3 linked regions of the Drosophila melanogaster genome follow. The protein of the gene in region 2 interacts with the protein of the main gene of each other region in a biochemical or structural test. Each region holds a gene or a part of one and is shown on either strand. Other genes may lie near its edges. The genes, in order: DIP-zeta, dpr14 and DIP-epsilon.

What was found.
Region 1: the proteins of dpr14 (region 2) and DIP-zeta form a complex in vitro, tested with the Drosophila melanogaster proteins (one study listed by BioGRID).
Region 3: the proteins of dpr14 (region 2) and DIP-epsilon form a complex in vitro, tested with the Drosophila melanogaster proteins (one study listed by BioGRID).

What each region holds. Positions count from the first base shown.
Region 1 is NT_033779.5:9,067,829-9,073,371, reverse strand, and holds the start of DIP-zeta (Dpr-interacting protein zeta), read left to right. Parts: upstream 1-2,207; 5' UTR 2,208-2,540; intron 2,541-5,543.
Region 2 is NC_004354.4:7,902,818-7,910,579, forward strand, and holds dpr14 (defective proboscis extension response 14), read right to left. Parts: upstream 5,470-7,762; 5' UTR 5,282-5,469; intron 5,218-5,281; 5' UTR 5,105-5,217; intron 4,998-5,104; exon of another isoform or gene 4,880-4,997; 5' UTR 4,522-4,879; coding exon 4,440-4,521; intron 4,130-4,439; coding exon 3,683-4,129; intron 3,610-3,682; coding exon 3,432-3,609; intron 3,365-3,431; coding exon 3,228-3,364; intron 3,178-3,227; coding exon 2,999-3,177; 3' UTR 887-2,998; downstream 1-886. Other genes in the region: bys (by S6), read left to right, coding at 1-342, 399-518, 581-731; spidey, read left to right, coding at 6,555-6,720, 7,061-7,107.
Region 3 is NT_033779.5:6,408,126-6,413,735, forward strand, and holds the start of DIP-epsilon (Dpr-interacting protein epsilon), read right to left. Parts: upstream 3,202-5,610; 5' UTR 2,702-3,201; intron 436-2,701; 5' UTR 259-435; coding exon 120-258; intron 1-119. Other genes in the region: CG13982 (uncharacterized protein), read left to right, coding at 4,579-4,733, 5,056-5,241, 5,298-5,610.

The sequences.
Region 1 (5,543 bases), on a different chromosome or scaffold from region 2:
GCTGGAAAAATGAATGCATGCTTATGGGGAGTTGGTTTTAAATCCATTCCATTTTCGCCTCCGCTGGGAAAATGGAAATGCGACGTCAGCCTGCGGTTTTTTCAACCCTCAAAATTACGTGATGTTATTACGTTTGTTGGCCATAAAAGGGTCTACAAATCTCCGCCCATTAAACTTTCGATTCTCATCTTTAATCTTGTTTTATTACTCGGTCGGATTTTCGTACATGTATTGTTTTGTTTCCTAAACTCAAATATCCCAAATATAAATCTTACCAGACAAGCCGGGGCAAAACTTTGCCGATAGTATTCCCCAAACTATTTTACCTCATTTGGGCAGTCCTTAGCAGAGAGACTAGACTGCAGGGCATACTTAACCAAAGTCGCAGACAAACTGCAAAAGAAATTGTGAATATATCTACACAGGAAAACAGGAACCAAACTTTCCATTTTCAATTTGCTGCAGACTTTGGCTAAGTACCAGAGAAGGAGGTCCAATATTTCCGACCGGTTTTGTATACTTTTTTTCCATTTTGTTTAGCTCTGTCTACTTAAACTCGCATTGAACTGGAAGAATAACATTGAACAGCAAACAATCAGCAGTCAAAAATTTCATTGTTAAGGCGGCAGCGGGAAAAAATAGCAAAACAAGTAGAGGGGAAAAACAGGAAACTTTCGGACAAGGCGTGAAAAATACAAAAAGACTGGGAAAGAGAGAAAAAAACTTTTTCCATGGTGAGAAAAACTTTACAAAGCAGCCAACAAAGTGTTGTAATGGCTGGCATCCAAAGGGATCCCCCGTCCAACGCTTGACTTTTGACCCAACGAAGCGAATGTGTTGCAACGACCTTTGTGGCCTTTCCGCCTCCGCCTCCTCATTCGCCATCACCTAATCCACCCGCTCCACCCACTCTTCCTGTTTTGGTCACATCCTGGCGCAACAGTCGACCACGCCCACTCGCCGCCCTATCACCTCTGGGATTCCCCCCACAATGAACTTGCCAAGCGATGGTGCACGTTTCTCCTTGGGTGTGTGGTGTGTAGAGGAATCCCAGGGAGAGGGTCACAGAGCAGTCATCTTGTCTGCCGTCTAGCCTTGTCAGTTTTAATGTTTTTGGCATTGAGCGATGTCTGTGATTTGAAAGAGTTCATTAAGATAGTTCAGTATGGCCAACAGGGAGAATTCATCACTCTCATATCGCATACAATCCGTCTATATATAGACTAACTTTCAGACGGATATGCATCGTTTTTTTTTCCTTCTGCACAACTGACCAGTGCTTGTCGAGATGATTACAGTGCCCTTAAAACAAGGTCTAGTTAAAAAATAGCAAAACTTTTTTCGTGCACCTAATTTAATAGGATAAAATCATCATGAAATACTTCAAAAAATAAGTAACTAAAAATATTATCTGTCTAACCATTCAAAAATACCACTGTTAACTTTGAAAAGAACTTCTTAATTAACCGTCTACCAACTGACAACCAGCTTTGCTAGCTCAGTCAGTCATAAAACGCAATTATCACCCTCAATTAGATGGTCCTGCATCAGCGAAAATCGAATAAGCAACGCTTGCAAATTGAATATCTCAAATTAATTGCACTTTTTTCGCTCAACATACGCACATGGACTTGAAATGAAATGCAAATAAATTTAATTAACTTGTCTAATTAAATACTTGGCTCCAAATAGCAATATGCAGCAACCAACGGAAAGCAAAAATGTGTTTTGATTTTGTTTTCATTTTATCTTAATTCAATTATTATTAAAAGGGTACAGCTTCAGCCGGAACGAGCCAAAAAGGTTCGACGGCGGAATCGGCATGCAACTCGAACTTTGAGAGGTGATTTTGGGGCATGGTGTTGCAGGTTGGACTCTGTTAACATTTTTGTCGCGTGTTTTGCGGTCTGTTGTTGTGGTTGCGGTTGCACGCAAACAACAAGCCTCCGAACATAACAAGGATACCGGACATAACCAGCAACCGGCAGCAACAACTACCAATGAACAGCATCCAGCGTCCTTTGGTTGGCTTAAACCGAAGCTACACTTCGGCTCGCTCTGTCGGCCGTCGGCTCGTCCCCGCCTGTTATCACTCGGCCAACGCGGCGTATACGTAACAGCACTTCCCATTCGTTAGATTTTCCCTTATTGTTGTTGGTGGAAAGCCAGAGCCCGGCTCTGTGCGAGCATTAGGTTTCGTCGGCAAATCAGTTTCGCTACGGATTCTGCACGAAGCGGACGCGTTTTATCGGTGTTACACTGAAAGATCCCCGGCAAAGGGAAAGTCGTACTCAAGTGTCATGTGATCGATGCCAAATTAGAAGCACCTGACTCAATGTGATCGTGTTGAGAAATGACTTAAAAGTCGAGCTAAAAAACTTAGGTCCACTTGATTATAAAATTTAAAAAAATACCAAAACTTGTAAGCGTTTTATTGAAAGATTACAATTTGTAAAAGTGGTTGAAAACTTGGTATATCATACGTAACACAAAACTAACCTACAGAATTAAATATTCACAAAAATATTCTTGTAGTTACAGTATGTAAATTAATTATTTCAATACATGCAATTCATACTATTAAGGTCTTAAACAGAAGAACAATTTGATCATCGGAAAAGTCTTTTTTATTAATAATTCATAGAATAGAATAGAAACTTTATAAAAATATGGAATTTTAAATTTAACAAACTTTAGATATTATTTATAAATATCAGTGACAGAAGTATATTAAATCGAAAGTTCCAACAATTTTTAAAAGTGCGAGTGCCGGTTAGGATAAGTAATTATAAGCTATGTTAAAAATTGAAAATGCAATAAGGAGTTGGTTTAATGCGTTTGTTTCGTTACGCTATATATTATATTTATGTATAAAATCTTAATTACAATATATAATGTAAAAGGTTTATGTTTGGGACTGCAGATCATTCAAATGCAATTAAAGACTTCGATTTATCTTAGTGCGAGTATTTCAAATAACTGAACTCCATTTAATGGTTAACCACAGCTACAATCCAGACCACAAACTCACATGTCACTTGTCAGGCCCTCGAAATGGGTAAACAATTAACAGTTAACTCTGCTAATGCACATTTCATGCCAACAAAAAGTAAACAAACAGCGAGACTATCTCCAGGACCCTCGAAGTCCTTAAATCCCGAAAACTGGCAGACACGCACACAACGCCATTCTTCAATCTGTGAAAAATTCCCAAACAAACTTATATGCGAATAAATGAATCCACTAGAGTTCACTTTGGGACAACTCGCAAAAAAAATAGTCGAAGGGGAAATTTGTTGCGATTGATAAAGGACAGCAGTTGTTGCCACTGCAACGCAATGCACAACACACAAACACAACCGAAAACAGCAAGGCAAATATAAACAAAGAATTTAGCTTAAAAATACATTAACCCACTGCATCCATGAGAATCAGGATATGCAGGGAAAAGGGCCAGGACCCGACTGCCAACTGCTGAAAACTTGCATACTTAATGGAGTAGGAGATAGAGACAGACAACGCAGAGAGTACAGTGGGGCCTATGTGTTACTGGACACAACTGTATTCCAAATGCAGAATAAGTCTTTGAGTATGAATATTGTCAAAGCTCATTGTAAACGTTTCTTAGCATTTTGTTACAATTTATTAAAAAAAAAAAATATTAAAGAGAAATATTTAATTACAGTATACAACATTGGAAACTAATAGAAATTGTTGTAAAAATACTTTACATAATTTATTCAATATACCAAGACTTAGAATGGATCCACCACTAATATCAATATATCGGTTCTTATGGTCCAAATATTTTAATTCCATTTAATATATAATTAAGATTTAAATTATTTCATATTTATAACATATGTGAAATGATTCATTTTGTTGGGTATCCACTGTACAATGGTATGTTTTGCATTCAGGCATCATTGCAGATCAATGGCAATATGGAGCTGATACAGTTTGAGTAAGACACGTAAACACACAGAGCAGAAGAAGGATGGGAAACTCATGGATGTCAGCTGTTTCAGAACTTTTTTCAAAAGCTAGTGAAGAGAGGGCTTATTGGTTCTTTATTTATTTCCATCTTTTTTGAATTCTTTTTTGAGTTCAGCTTTGTTGCGTTTTGTTTGCTCGAGTTCGGTTTGACGTTTGCAGTTACAGGAACTTTACAAATTGTGTAGAGTAAAACAAACAAAATAGCAAAACTTTGATGCTGCTGATGATGATGTCGAAAATATGTGTGAGCTTTGATCATAAGTGCATATTTATTGGTGCGTTTATTTGGTAAATTTAGTTTCTATATTGCACTTCTGAAAATATAATAGAGTACTTTATCCAGATAAAATCAGAGTTAAATTGAGTCTAGTTAAGCTTGTATTATCCGAATAAATAGTAACGTGAACTAACGAATTTTCGATAAGGGAGAGATGTAAGTCCTTAAATAAAACCAAATTAAATCGGAATTTTATTTTCATGTATTTGTATTGTTTGCTGCCAAAATATAAGTGATAGGTAACAGGCACAACCTTTCTAGCTTGCTTCTTCTTTGAAGAACCTTTTAATGTAAATAAATTCGGCCATAGGTAAACATATCTTAATTCAATTTCGGCCTCCTTTGTGCTGCTTTCTTTTCTCCCTTCAATTACCACAAAACCATGAAGGTTAAAAGCTGTCAGGCATTTATAGAAGCTTAGGAGAAATCCCCTGAGAGCTAGGAACATTTTTTTTGGGCTAATGACTATGTCAGGATTAATTTACGTTTACACAGAATCTTTTAAAAAGAAAATTTAAACACCCAATAAAAAATATTATAATGGCTATGAACTTAGTCAGCATAAACAAATAAATGTTATTGTCTCTTTCATCTACGCACCCGTTTAGTTAAGTCCCTTTAATCCCGCAACAATTATAAGCCAATTTGTTTTACCAAAAAGTTATCATTATAAAAACAGCAAAAACCAAACAAACACTAAATAGCCCCATTAAAATTTAATTTCCTAGCATAAAAATACAAGAAAAACACATTCGGAACAAGTTTCTCCCTCAACAATTTATTAATTTAATTACAAACACTTTGCCAAACTCATAAAAAAGTGCATAAAATTTGTTGGACTTCTTGTTCTTGTTTCTGATGGTAAATCTGTTTCGGTCCATACCAAAAAAGCTTTATCATGTGTGCGTGGTTTTTGGGGGAAGAGGTGGAGTCAAAATTGCTTAATTTCATAAGCGAGTCATAAGGGAAAAAGTTTTGTCTCTGTGTAAGTGTTTCGCAAGCTGCGTGTGGACCCCCTAAATAGCTGAAGGCGACACGCTCAAAAGCCATAAAAAATACAATTTTTAAGAGAAAGTTTTGAATGAGATGGCCAAGAAACAGCAACCAGAGTAGAGGACTGCGCGTGACACAACTATATTTCAAAGACCTATGAATTTAAACTACAATATCAGACACATATCGACATGTCCAATGAAAATATTACCAGTAAAATTAAAAAAATTTTTAAATTCGATTTTCTAAAATAAAGTGTCTATACTAAAAATCAATC
Region 2 (7,762 bases):
GGTGCTCCTGCCACGAGTTCGTGATGATCTCTGCGAATATAAGAAGCTCAATATGCATCTGTACAATGCACTGAAGAGGGCTCTCTTCAAGCCGGCTGCCTTCATGAAGGGAATCATTCTGCCGCTGCTCGAGGGCGGCGATTGCACATTGCGCGAGGCCATCATTTTCGGCAGTGTGGTGGCCCGCAGCTCTATTCCCGTCCTGCACTCCTCCGCCTGCCTGCTGAAGATCTGTGAGATGGCCTATTCGGGAGCTAACTCCATATTCATCCGTTACTTTCTGGACAAGCGGTATGCTCTGCCTTATCGCGTCGTGGATGCCGCAGTCTTTCATTTTCTAAGGTTGGTATTCTCACTACAATGCCTTTTAGAAATCGAAATAACATGGTTTCTTGCAGATTCGAGAACGACAAGCGTGAGTTACCAGTGCTATGGCACCAGAGCCTGCTCACCTTTGCCCAGCGATACAAGAACGATATATCCTCCGAACAGCGGGATGCACTGCTGCAGCTGCTCAAGTAAGTAAATCGAATGCTATTGAAACCCTAGAACTGTTAGTAACTGTAAATCACAATTGCAGAAAGAAGAGCCATTTCAAGATTACACCCGATGTGAGAAGGGAGCTCCAGGCGGCCAGTTGTCGCGATGTGGAAATGATGGAGACGGATAATGGCCTGGCTGGGCAGCCAGCCAAGATGTACACAGATGCCGATGTGGAGTACGAGGGCTGAGGCGGTGTAAATTAAGGATAACTTTAAGATGATATTGTTTTACTATTTAATATCGGATAGTCGTTAAATATGTAAATATACCTACATATGCAGTGAAAATCAAATGCAGATGTTTATTCTGTGGGAAAATGAAAGCCACTTCAGATGTTTTGAATGTTTTAATAGAAAAAACAAATGTGTGTGTTTGTGTGTGGTTTTTTTTTTATACAATTTTGCATTAAGTTTTAGTTGCTTTTGGTTTTTTGCTTGACAATGACGGTATCTTTTGGCGCCGTCGCAGTCGCATCGGCCATATTGACCAGACGCCCGCGTTATACATTATGTATGTATGTAGTTTTATAATCTCAATTTTAAATGTAGTAATTATTAAATATAATTCTGTAACCAAAATCTTTCTAAAAGTTTCGTTTCGTCACTTTTTATTAGTCTCTAAGTATTGTTTCGTTATCTCACTCCAACATTTGTCTTGTTTTGTTTTGTTTTGTTTTATTCTGTTCTGTTTTTCATTTGTGTTATTTAAGGGCATACTCCAAGGACCGATTCGGGTCGGGATCAATTTGAATAATTTACAATAACTACACTGGACCATTTGAAATTAGTTTACCCAAGTACTTAGGCCTCAAGCCTTATCAATAATTTCGTTTCTTAAATTTGCTTACTTCTGTTTTTTTCCGTTTTTTTTTTTGTGTGTTTTCAAGCTGAGCTTTGATTTCGAAATACAATTTGTAAAGAGAGCGTGGGTATGTTTGTATATAATAACCGATCTTAAAAGCAATATGAATTTGGAATGCCGTCAGTGAGTAAGGATATCGAAAGTTTTTCGGGGCTTTAAATACATAGGCGATGATCGTTTGAAGCGAAAGCTAAAGCCTTAGACATAAACTGATATACTCGCATGTGGGGGAAGGGTACAGTGAGCATTGGCTATGTGCATACCGAATGAAGGGTCCGCACCTTACGCCCAATTCGAGAAATGAAAGTGGCAAGTATTCATTTGCTTCTTGTTCTTGATCGTGATTTATTTCGTTTAATTGAATTACTTTTAGGGATTACGGTTTTGGTTTTCGATTTCAATTTCGATTTTGATTTTGGTTTTTAGGGACCGTTTTCAATCAAAGAATCAAGTATTTACCCATTGGTCCGAGTTGTGTTGTGTTTTCGACTTGAAAAAGATACAAATATACAATTAATTGGTTTTGCCTCAAATGGTCATTGGTTCCGCAACCGAATTAACAACAATTAAACGATATGTATCCATTTTGAATGGCACAGTTTTGTTAACGTTAAACATTTCCTAAGTGTTTCTCATTTACATTTCTAGATCGTGGATAAACTGAGGAAAACCCAACTACTGATCAAGCTCACGCACATATAATGTTTCGAATTATTTAATAATTTAACAACCTCTCTAGCTCTCCTCCAGTTATCGATGCACTTAAGTATTCAAAAAATCTGAGACAAGGACATGGACAAGGACGAAAAAAAAATCAAGGACTGAAAATTAGGGATAAATGAAGTACGATTTTGTTCGGTATTGATTATTATTGATTACGATTAGAATGATCCCAACTGATATGCTGTTTGATTTCAAGAAGCTACAACCATATTTTCATTAACAAGGCCTTGGATCGGAGGTGTATACTATACGTTAATCGGGATATAGAATACACACGAGCGTTGTGGAAATATTAATATTTCGGTGATGCGCGACCTTTGGAAGGCGATCCGTCCGAGTGAGAAAAAATTATGCTTTAAACTTTGGACCTTACAAATCTAGGTATGCATGCATGTACATATATCCATAATGACGTGGAGGTAACAAAGAGCTAAATGGATACGTTAGATGCAATAATGTGCATGTTTGTATATAAGATCAATATGTTAGCCAACATAAACACGGCCGTTTGGTAGTACAATTCGATTCGATTATGATACTAATAATGTTATGTTCTAGCGCTAAAAATCAATATCTCATCTATATTTCGCGTACGCCCTTACTAGTACGAGTTTTTCATTTCACTTTCATTTCCGTTTTCTTTTTTTTGGTTTGTTTGGTTTTGCTTTCGAGCTTTCGATTTCCGCCTTTTTTTTTCTTTTTAAATACACTTGACCTTAAGCTTAATATTCGGTTTATGCTATGTATCGTATGTTAAACAACCCATGATTAGAGTAAAAGTCGAAAATGCAATCCTGGACAAGACTCTTTTGGTATATGCATTTCCCGCGACACAATCTAGGATCTACGATCCCCGGATTAGGCTGCGTCGTCATCGTCTTAATTCCCATCCCCATCCCCACACTTGTCCCAAGCCCAATCCCCGATTCATTCCGGCTACGGAAATCGAACCGGAGATGCAAACGTACACTAGAAATAACACAACCATTGTGGAGGCGTTGGCCTTTTGGCGGCTTCCGTTCGCATGCTGCATGGCGGCTGGCTCCTCACCTGGAATTCCGGATTCTATATGAATAGCCAAGGGGAGTTTGCACACTTACCGTTCAGCACATGCACCACCACCGTCTCCGTAATCTCATTGCCCAGCATGCAGGTGTAGTTGCCCGTGTCCTGGCGATTGGCATTGGCGATATACAGGCGACTCAGAGCTCGTCCTGGCAGCATGTCCGTCTTGACACTGCAAATGATATCAAATGCATGGTAATTAACTTACGATTATTAAGACCATATACGACAAATCCTACCTGATTCCTCCGCGACTAGTATCGTAGTTGAGCAGGCGCGGTCCGTGCCGCCAGGTGATATAGGAGGAGGGATGCGGAATCTTCGAAATGACGCACTGCAGCTCGATGGTGCTGCCAGCCTTGTAGTACTTCTCCGGCGTGGCCGAGCCCCGCTCGTCGAGTATCTCCACGTGAGGAACTGCGGATGGACAACGAATGAGATCAGCATGGATCAGCAGGTTTTGCTTGGCAAGCCGACAGCAGTTGCTCACCAATTATAGTAAGGTAAACGAGCAGGACGAGCGGCGGATGCGAGGACACCTGGCACTCGTAGGGACCCTCGTCCCGCTCGTTGGCGAACTGGATGAGCAGCTTCCAATCGTTGGGCTCCTCGAACTCCAGCGAATACCGCGAGTCGCCGCTATATGTGTGCTGGCCAAAGGTTATCAGGGTGAGATCATCGCCACGGCGACGCATCCAGGACACCGTCTTGCCCTGCAGATCGTTCACCCGGCAGTGCAGATAAACGCTGGACGAGAGCTGGGTGCTGATGTTCAGCGTGGTGTACGGATCGGCGAAGAACGGGAACGGCTCGTGGGTGGTCGTCTCGGTGACCTCCAGCTCCTCATCCTCGGGCGTGTCGGTGAACGGCGATGAGAACTCCTGCCAGAAGTTCTTCGGAAACGTGTCGAATGGATCGCCAGCTCGCGGTCGTTTCACTAGTTCGAAAAAAAACAATTTCAATAGATATAGTTAAAATATATATGAAAATCATATAATATATAAAAATAAAATGCACTCAGCTAAAATCACGTATAAAAGAAAAACTCAAATAAAACAATAATTTCGTTTCGAATAATGCTTGCACACTAAGTAGTAAAATAATTGTTTTACATAAAAAAAAATAATCATTTTTCACTTGGGTAATCCGCAAAGTAAACAAAAGAACTTAATCTTCAGCTTAAAAGTGCCAAAGTTTGAGTTGGGTAAAAGTTTGCAATGTGATTAAGGCATGAGGTGGAGACTCACATGTGGTCGACGTGGAACCCGAGCCGATGTGATGGAGTGAGGAGTATATAATCGCCAGTATCCAAAACAGCCTCGATCTCATCACTGCAGCGGAGTGTCTTCATATGCCGACTTACGGGATACGGTAACAGGATGCGGGATGATGCATCGACTGGCGCCACTCGCCGCAGGATATGCACATATGAACGAACGCCCCTCTAAACTGTTCTATATCGATCCAAGTCCAACTGCATCAGCGTCCCACTGCATCGCCAGCGATGATTCCACGGACTTCACTTCGCTTCGCTTATCGATTGCCCTGCGGCAAAATATTGCTGGACATATTGCACTCAAGTATCTTCTTTTTCAGAGTGTCCTTTTCGATTATATATGTATATTTACTTTTTCTTTTTCTCTTTTTTGTTGATTTCTTTGCACACTTTTCAGCGCGCGGATGGAGGCTGGAGGGATAGGAATGTCGGACAATTGGAAAATCGGAAAAGCGCTTATTAACCAGCTCGTGTTGCGTGTGTATTTATCCTTTTGCAACTGCTGCTCGGATGGCCAATAAACGGGAATGTAGGTCAGGGCATGCTCTGCGCATGGCCAGCATCCGCATCCCTATTATTTCATCCGAAGGAATCCCTCTACCCGAGCAACAACAACAAATAGCAGACGCCACTCACCTCTCAAGCTCAAAATAATGCAATCTTCAAGATTGTTTTAAAAAGAAAAAGACTTTTCTTTTCTTCTTTTGTTTGCATTTGTCCAGGAAAAAAGCTCTTTTCGGCGGATGGTTCTGATAAATATTTAACAATATAAAAGTTGCTTTTGCCGGTCCTTCGGCGTTGTTGTTCCCTCACCCACACTTGCTTCGGCACTGAATCCGCTCCGAAAGGCCAGCATCTCTCTCGGCATTCTTGCAATCCAGGGATTTCTACCCACCAAACAAGGTCCTTTGAATCCGTATAGCTCGGCATGCAAATAAATCGGGCGATTGAGCTCAGAAATACCTGTATTTTACTAATTGTTAAGAGCCTAGAGTAAAAATACAGATAAACTACCATTCTTTTACTGTCAAATTAAGCTTCAAATTCGAAATTCGATAAGTAACCGATATTTATCGATAGGCAAAGGATTACCCTCGCACATACGCGATCCGCTATAGCCATCTCGCTCCATCAATAATTTACCGTTAATATAGCGGGCTTTACTCAGAAACATCAAAAATATTTAACGACTTTAATTGTAGCATTCGCTGCGTTAAATTGTTTATCGCACTTTCTGCTTCCTGCGCATGTGCAGGAAATTAGTCAGACTATTTCGGTGATTGCCCCATTCTGGCGTGTATTGGTGAGAGCATAGAACTTACACTGCCCTCCTATGATATACATATGCATGCTTTTTTCGCTTTTAAATAAACTAATTAATAGACTAGTAAAAGAAGGATATACGGTAATGAACCTGTGAACCCTTAGGCGGAAAACTATTGCTGAATTTACATTTCATCCCTCTTTTAAAATCAGCTAGTGCAACATAACGGTTCTTGGTGTGATAAATTTTTGCGCTCACTGTTTGCAGCCGCCCTTATCTTTCGCTTTTTGGTGGTGTGCGTGAGCGCTATGAAATGACATAAGTGGGCACACAACACAGACACACACCCCTCTGAGGGGGGCACATGGATACGAAAAAGAACCGTTCATTTGCTTTTGTGCCGTTGACAATTGACATTCAATCGCTTTTTCCATTTGTTTTTATTTTCCCCCTTCTACCCTAAGTTTCTCCTTTCAAAGAAAACGCATTTGGAATACAAATCAGGCAAAAAACACGCGTACATAAATCGAGTAATCGAAAATCAGTGGCGATTTCGAAGGGTGTGTGTGTGTGTAGAATTACTACAACACACCACAAATACAGTTCGAAAAGGCAGCGCAGTCGGCAGAGGCGAAAAAAAAGCAGCGGCGTCAGCATTTCCATTTCGGCATTGCAGCTCGAAAATCGTAGAATCAGAAACTAATCAGCCGGCAGAGGCTATAGCAGTCGACCGATCGCAATCGCACCATATAGTACATACAATAGGTACCATTGCCTAGGAGTACCAGGAACCAGGAACCACTAATCTCCATCATCAACATCATGGAGGAGAACAACTCGCAAGTGCTGAGCCTGCTGGGCGGTCTGGCCATCGGAATCGTGGGCTTCCAGGTCTTCCGGAAGGTCCTGCCCTGGATTTACGCCAATGTTGTTGGCCCCAAGGTCTTTGGCTCCTCGGTGGATCTCTCCAAAATGGGCGAGTGGGCAGGTGAGTCGGTTGCCATGGAAAAACATGCCGGAAAGGAGCGGAAACGGGGTCGATTCCGAGTGCACAGTGAAAAAATGAATAGCAAGTTTGCTAAAGAAGTGTAGTTAAAAAGATTAAAGACCCTTTTACAATTAAATTGTGAAGAAAGGGAATTTCCAAATTGCAAACACTCTACTTTCAAGTTTTCCAATTTTGCATTAACTGCCTAAAGGAATACACTATATATCTTTCCAAAATGGAGTTCAGTACTTTTTTCACTGTGACCGATAAGATCGTTCCCCACGCCCCATAAATCCACTGATAACCCACAGAACTATTGGCTAACTTTTTCGACTTTCAGTTGTCACCGGGTCGACCGATGGAATTGGCAAGGCCTACGCCAAGGAGGTATGTACACAAAGATGACATGGAAGGGCTGCCCCAATCTTGACCAGCGCAAGCAAAGTCCGTCCAAGCTCGACCGATGATTATAGTAAAATGGGAAACGGGTCAAGCAAACAAACAAACAAAAAACGATAGTAATAATGAGCAATTAGTAATTACTAATTACCGAATTGAGTGTCGCCCACGATGACTTGGACATTGGTTTAGCGGTCGCCAATGCATTAGCCAAGTGAATCTGCACTTTGAAATCGATCTTCAGTCAACAGTCCAGTCGCAAACAGTCCCTAATAGTGTTTGCTTGACTGCAAATCGCTACATTTGTACTTTTCGTTATTTATTTTTACAAAGTGCAATCGCAGTTGATTTTTCTACCTTTTGTGGTAATTTTTTTTTTTTTTTGCCAGTTTTATTTTGTAATACACAGACTTGGAGCAAACGAAGCTAGAAGCTATAGGGAACACGTGTCCCCTGAATGGCAATTACTTTATAGAGTGGAGCACAGGGCCCCGATCGAAGCTTGTGCCAAATTAGCATTCGGCGTGCGTCGAACGCACAGAAAATGGTTCAATGTTCACACCCAATTTCTATTCATATACACGCTTAGTACACTTAAATGACTTCCTGTTCTTAAAATCTACGGGTTACTCGTCTTTGAAAC
Region 3 (5,610 bases), on a different chromosome or scaffold from region 2:
TTTGCTATAGAATGAAGTATAATTTTAAACAGAATTTTTTGGTTTTCCTTTCGTGATACAATAAGTATAATTATAATAAAGGACATAACATTAATTTCCTAAATATTATTTTTACTCACCATTATTTAGGGTTGAGCCACCGACGTTACCGGCGTTGCCTTCACTTCCAGTATCTGTACTTAGTGCCACAGAGGAGGCAATCAGGCAACCAAGGCCCACATACAGAAACGAAGAAATCGCTTCGAGGTGGTATGCCATTTTGCTGTAAGTTTGATGCCCCTTTTTTTTACCGTTGTTTAGCTTTTCAATTAAGAAAACTTAATTATTTATTGCGTACAAATATTGTGCAGCATTACAGTATATTCCGGCTCATGTTGTGTTTGCTTTTGGAATCGATCAACGTTTAATTGCGATTGGCTTTTATGCACGCTACCCCTGAAATATGAGGAGAAATTATAGGTTGCCATTATTGATGAAAATATTAATAAAAAAAAGAAATTATACATGGCTTCATGCTTTTAGGCTTAAGTGTACATTTAATTTGTCATTGCTCAATTTTCCATTTACCGCAAGGAATGAGACCTGTTTTCGTGTTACACGGCTATCCCATACCCTTTACACGGCTTATTGATTACAACCGTACTTAATCATATCTTATAAACTTTAATCTAAGCTTTCAAATTTATAATAGTTGAAGAGATTTTGTATATCATACATACGGACAGACGAGCGGACACACCATTTTTTATGCTTAAGATTTTTATGAGCCATTTTAACCAGACCCACACCTGGCTTGCATCTTTTTCACGGATTAAGGAGTTTTCAATAAAGAGGATCAGCATTAGGAAGATATCAGAGCAGTGACGAACCCTAAGTCTCCGAACGACCTCAAATCCGTTCAAATGCCAGGGACAACGTTATCGTCACCATCAGAATTATCAGCTTCCTTTTCGTGGTTGTTTTGCTGCATGCATGCATAGAAGAATTTTTTCCTTGTTTTTAATTCCTGCTCGTGTCATAAGCGAAAAGCAATTTGCTCTGTCAGCTGTTGTTTTACACTCCGGCTACGGCAGTCAAGTAAACCCATGGAGGTCCTTCCAGTCTCGTCAATTTCTTCATTCTATTGCAATATGAATGCATTTCAATTAGAATGCCTCCTTGGGGACAGCTGTTGTGGATTTTCCATTAAGTAAGGGTTATTGAAACCGAATTGCAAACTTAATTGATTTCTAAGCCGGCCGACTTAACATTCATTTTGGTTGTGATATCTAAACAAAGATTTTGAACGTTATGCTGAGGAAGATTTTAGTGAACCATTGACATCTTATAAGATTCAATTTTGTTTCTTATAAAATGTGTTTTTTAGATTTAAGCGTTAATGACCCAAAGTTCACCTGATTGATAAGCAACCAACTGATGGTCAAAAATATATGTATTATTGTATGAATGACATAAATACGTGATAGTTTGGTACACCAAAATGTATTGTCTGGTGTATTTTCACGCGACGACGATTGTTGCATCCATAGAACTAACCGCGAAATGTAAATGGACCGTGAATTCGTAATGCATTTAAATCATTGTAAACAGCAATGTTTGTGCCCCGCAGACAGAAAGGATATTTCCCACATCTTCGAAGTGATGTAGCCGCATGATGAAAAGGAGCCAGCGGTGAATGCTCCGCCGGTCTGACTTCTGCTCTGTCTTTCCGTCTCCTAGGGAGCATTTACTCGCTTTTGCATAATAAATCAATTTACATTTCCTTTCACACGCAAAAATGAATAACGAATAATAGCAACAAGCCCGTGGCGCAGAAATCTTCTATCGTATTCTTCGGGTAAAAGTACGTATAGCATGAGAAAGGAGTGCTTCCTTTCTGCACTATAATCACACCGAACCGAATCAATCAATCAAAATGAAATTAATTATTTAATTATAATTATTATTTCTTTTCTTTTCCACAGCACAGGGAATTCAACCAAGTGCTTGTGTCACCCAAAGGATTCGATCTTTAGAGCTAACTTTTTAATGACGATTGTGTTTATTTATTACTGAAGTGAACATAAAACTTCAATTTCACACTAACCGCAAACAGCGCATCGTAAATTCGTATTACCTCTTAAAACGATTTCATTCCACGGTATATTAATCTTTTCGATCGGACAATCATTGCAGATTTCTGCACGTTTGTTTACATATATAGTAGCCGGCTTTTGCACTTCGGTGCACATTGCCACCACGTAGACGGCCGTCAGGAAGATATATAAATATCTGAGTCAGACTGTGCCGCGGGAACTGGAAACGCACAATTTAAGTTGGAAATAAAGACAGAGGATGGTTTAATTTAAACAAGTAGATATTGGTCTTTACGAGGATGCCATTGGCCATGTAAATAATAATAATAATTTGCTACGCATTTAGTACTTAGTTTCATAAATGAAACAAAAAGAAAATTAAATTTGAAGTTAGATTTGCATACAATTCGCATTATTTTGAAAGCCGGCTAATGAAACATTCAAAGTGCAATCAATTGCCTGCACAGCTTCTCCCAGCAGATGTAAACCAATTCGGAAGGATCCTTTGTAAAAGATGCAGCTCCCTAAACAGGCCATCCTGCGAACTCACTATTCAATGATGCCCCATCTGCAACTTCGTTCTCCTCCATCCGATGTCGCCCTGCTTCCAGAAACTAATAACTCACCGTGGCAATGTCTGGCTGCTGGATGGGGCGTCAGATGTCGGCAGGAATCAGCAAATCAATTTATAAATAGAGCAGCGAGACAACATAACAACGGATTTTCATGTTTCCCTCTGCCGTTCTCCGTTTTTGCAACATAACTAAATTAGGGGACCACGCGGCAGACACACAGACGCCGTCACAAAGCCAGCAGCTCCTCCGGTGGGCAGCGGAGGTGCATAAATGGCATGGGATATCGAATAAAAGCACTCACAGCAGTTGATTTACAACAACCATTCGCCGCCACTAATGCCAATCGAAAATACTATTTTAAACTATTTGGCCAGTGCAAATAAGAAAGACCACGTCCACGCACGTCTAACGAAACCGATTCTGGTTCTGATACCGTTACCGATTCGGGTTCGGGATTCAAAAGCGATTGCGACTGCGACTGCGAATACTGATGCGGATGCGGTACCGCAGACTAACGACAACCGAACGAAACGACAGCCGATTTCACACTGGCAGCAGCATCCCGTCGTGCGATTCACTTCGGCTGCGGCATGTTAAAAAGATAAACAAATGTTGCGGTTGGCCGTGATTTATGTTAGCTTACATATGTTTATAGCCCTGGCTGCAGAGCCAAACAGCACTTTCTGCTACTAACAGCCCCGAAAACAGCGAACAATCAATCCAACGATCCGCCGAGTGTTTTAATGCACCACTCCACTATCCGTTCCGTCAGCTAATGCGGCGGGTTAAATTTTATGTTCATCATGTGAGAGAAAAAATGTGAGAAAAGCCAAAGGTCGCAGAATTTCCAGTATTAGTATGTGCATATGTGAGCTAAATAAAGAAACGTATTATTTCTTTCTGAACATAATAGAGCAGGGCGTATCACTTGTGTAAGCATTTTTGAGTTATCCCTCAAAACTCCCTCATCTGTCTTACAGTGAAAACATGTTTTTCATCTTCGCTAATCATTGAACATTTGTTACTTGGTCTTTGAGCGGGCATAATGGAATAATAGCTTAGCACTTTAACACATTTACAGCTAGGGACTGCAAACGCATTTCCAAGTTCTGTGACCATAAATGTCAGAGTTCAAAAGGCAAGACTTCTTTAGCTTGCTGTTAACATCGCTATCTTAAGAAGAGGATGCTGCAATACAAACTTCATTAAAGAGAAATTTATAAAAGAACTTGGTTTCTTTGCTCTACATTTCCCTTTATAACCCCTAACAAAGCTCACACAATTTGGTCCTACAAGCCTTAACATTTCCCATTTTACACCCCAAGCAAAGCTTCATCATGTCGGTCCTGCAATACCCTAACATTTCCCGTTATTACCCCTGATAAAGCTACTGCTAGTCGAAAGCGCTCCGTGCCGTGAATTTATTAACTTTGAGCGTCCGTCTAAGCTTTAAGTAGTGACGAAAGCTCCTGTCACAAGACGCTTTGCTCTCCTGTTGACTTTAGCCACTTGACAGCGCAAAACGCGAAAGCCACAACACTCAGTCGAAACAGCTGACTCTCAAAAGGTGGCCACCACCCACCACCCAACTGCTGCAGGGCCAAACAGAAACTCCGTCACTAGGCTTACGGAGCATTTAGCCAAGAAAGCGTGGGGGCGTCACCGTCACTCACTGACGTCGACGCACTCGGCGCATGAAAAACAGTTACGCTCTGTGCCGCGGAGTGTGTGGAGTTGCGTTGAAAGGGGCTCCGGAGTCCAAAAGGGTAATCGGAAAGCCCACGGGAAGGGGCCATCACCGCGGAGCCTTGACCCGAGCGTAATGAAATGTGGCGCCTGGCTGGCGAAAAAGTGACGTGAAATGCCAAGTGCAGCCGCATCGAAGCCAGCAAGGATCTTGTAGCAGCGACAGGAGCAGCCCCTTCTCCATGGGTTCATGCCTTGGCAGCTGTGCCACAGCTGCCGCCGCACCAGCCCACTCCGCCTGCACCTCAACGTCCGACTCCACCACCCACTCGACTTCCTCGACGTCGTCTTCACTGACAACTCCCCCCACGTCCTGGGTGGCCAACAGCTGGCTCTGGTGAGTGGGGCCAATTAGTTGAAGCTCAACTCCGCTGACTTTCGTTCGCGCGCAAATCCGCTGACCAATCAATAGTGGCTAAGCACGGGGTGGAATTGGCTAGTTGGGGGTCAACAGCCTAAAACTATGCAACGGCCGCTGGTTGCCACAAAACAATGTGCCACAGGCGGGCTTCCCGCCCAAGTGGGTGCTTACTGCAACCAAATACGTAAACAGTAAATACTAGTTATATGTGATATTCTTTAAGAGTTAACAAAAGCTTTTACTTTATAATAATTATTAAAAACATCTTTAATAAAAAGTGGTATCTTTCATCTTCTAGGCGAAAGAACAGATCTGCAGGAAGACAAGATCCAGAGGCAGATCTCTTATCGAGGACCACCAGGCAGCGCTGCCAACGGAACGGATTCATCTACCGCATCCTGCGGCTCAAGAAAAGGCAGCAGTGTCCCAGCTTCCTGGACAAGTACTGGGAGCAGCAGCCCAGCTACGCCAAGCTGCCGACCACGTATGTTAAGTCTCCTAAGGTGCCTCCTAGAAATAAAACCAACTTAATCCTTGCAGCGCCATGGCGGACATTCAAATGCAGAACCTGGACGCCGGCAAGTTGCTCAACGCCCAGACCACGCCCAGTCGGGAGACGGAGATGGGACTTGGAGCCTACCAGCGCATGGCCAACTCGCGGGCCAGCTCCTCCTTGGATCTCGAGTGGGAACACGAGTACTCACAGCTGCGGCAGTATCAGTACCAGTGCCAGCAGGTGCCCAAGGAGCTGCCACCAACGCCACCAAAGCCGCGCTACGCATCCTTAGACCAGCTGGCGGCAGCCAATGCGATGGCCACCAGCCAAGGACGACACATGGCGCGCCAAGCCAGA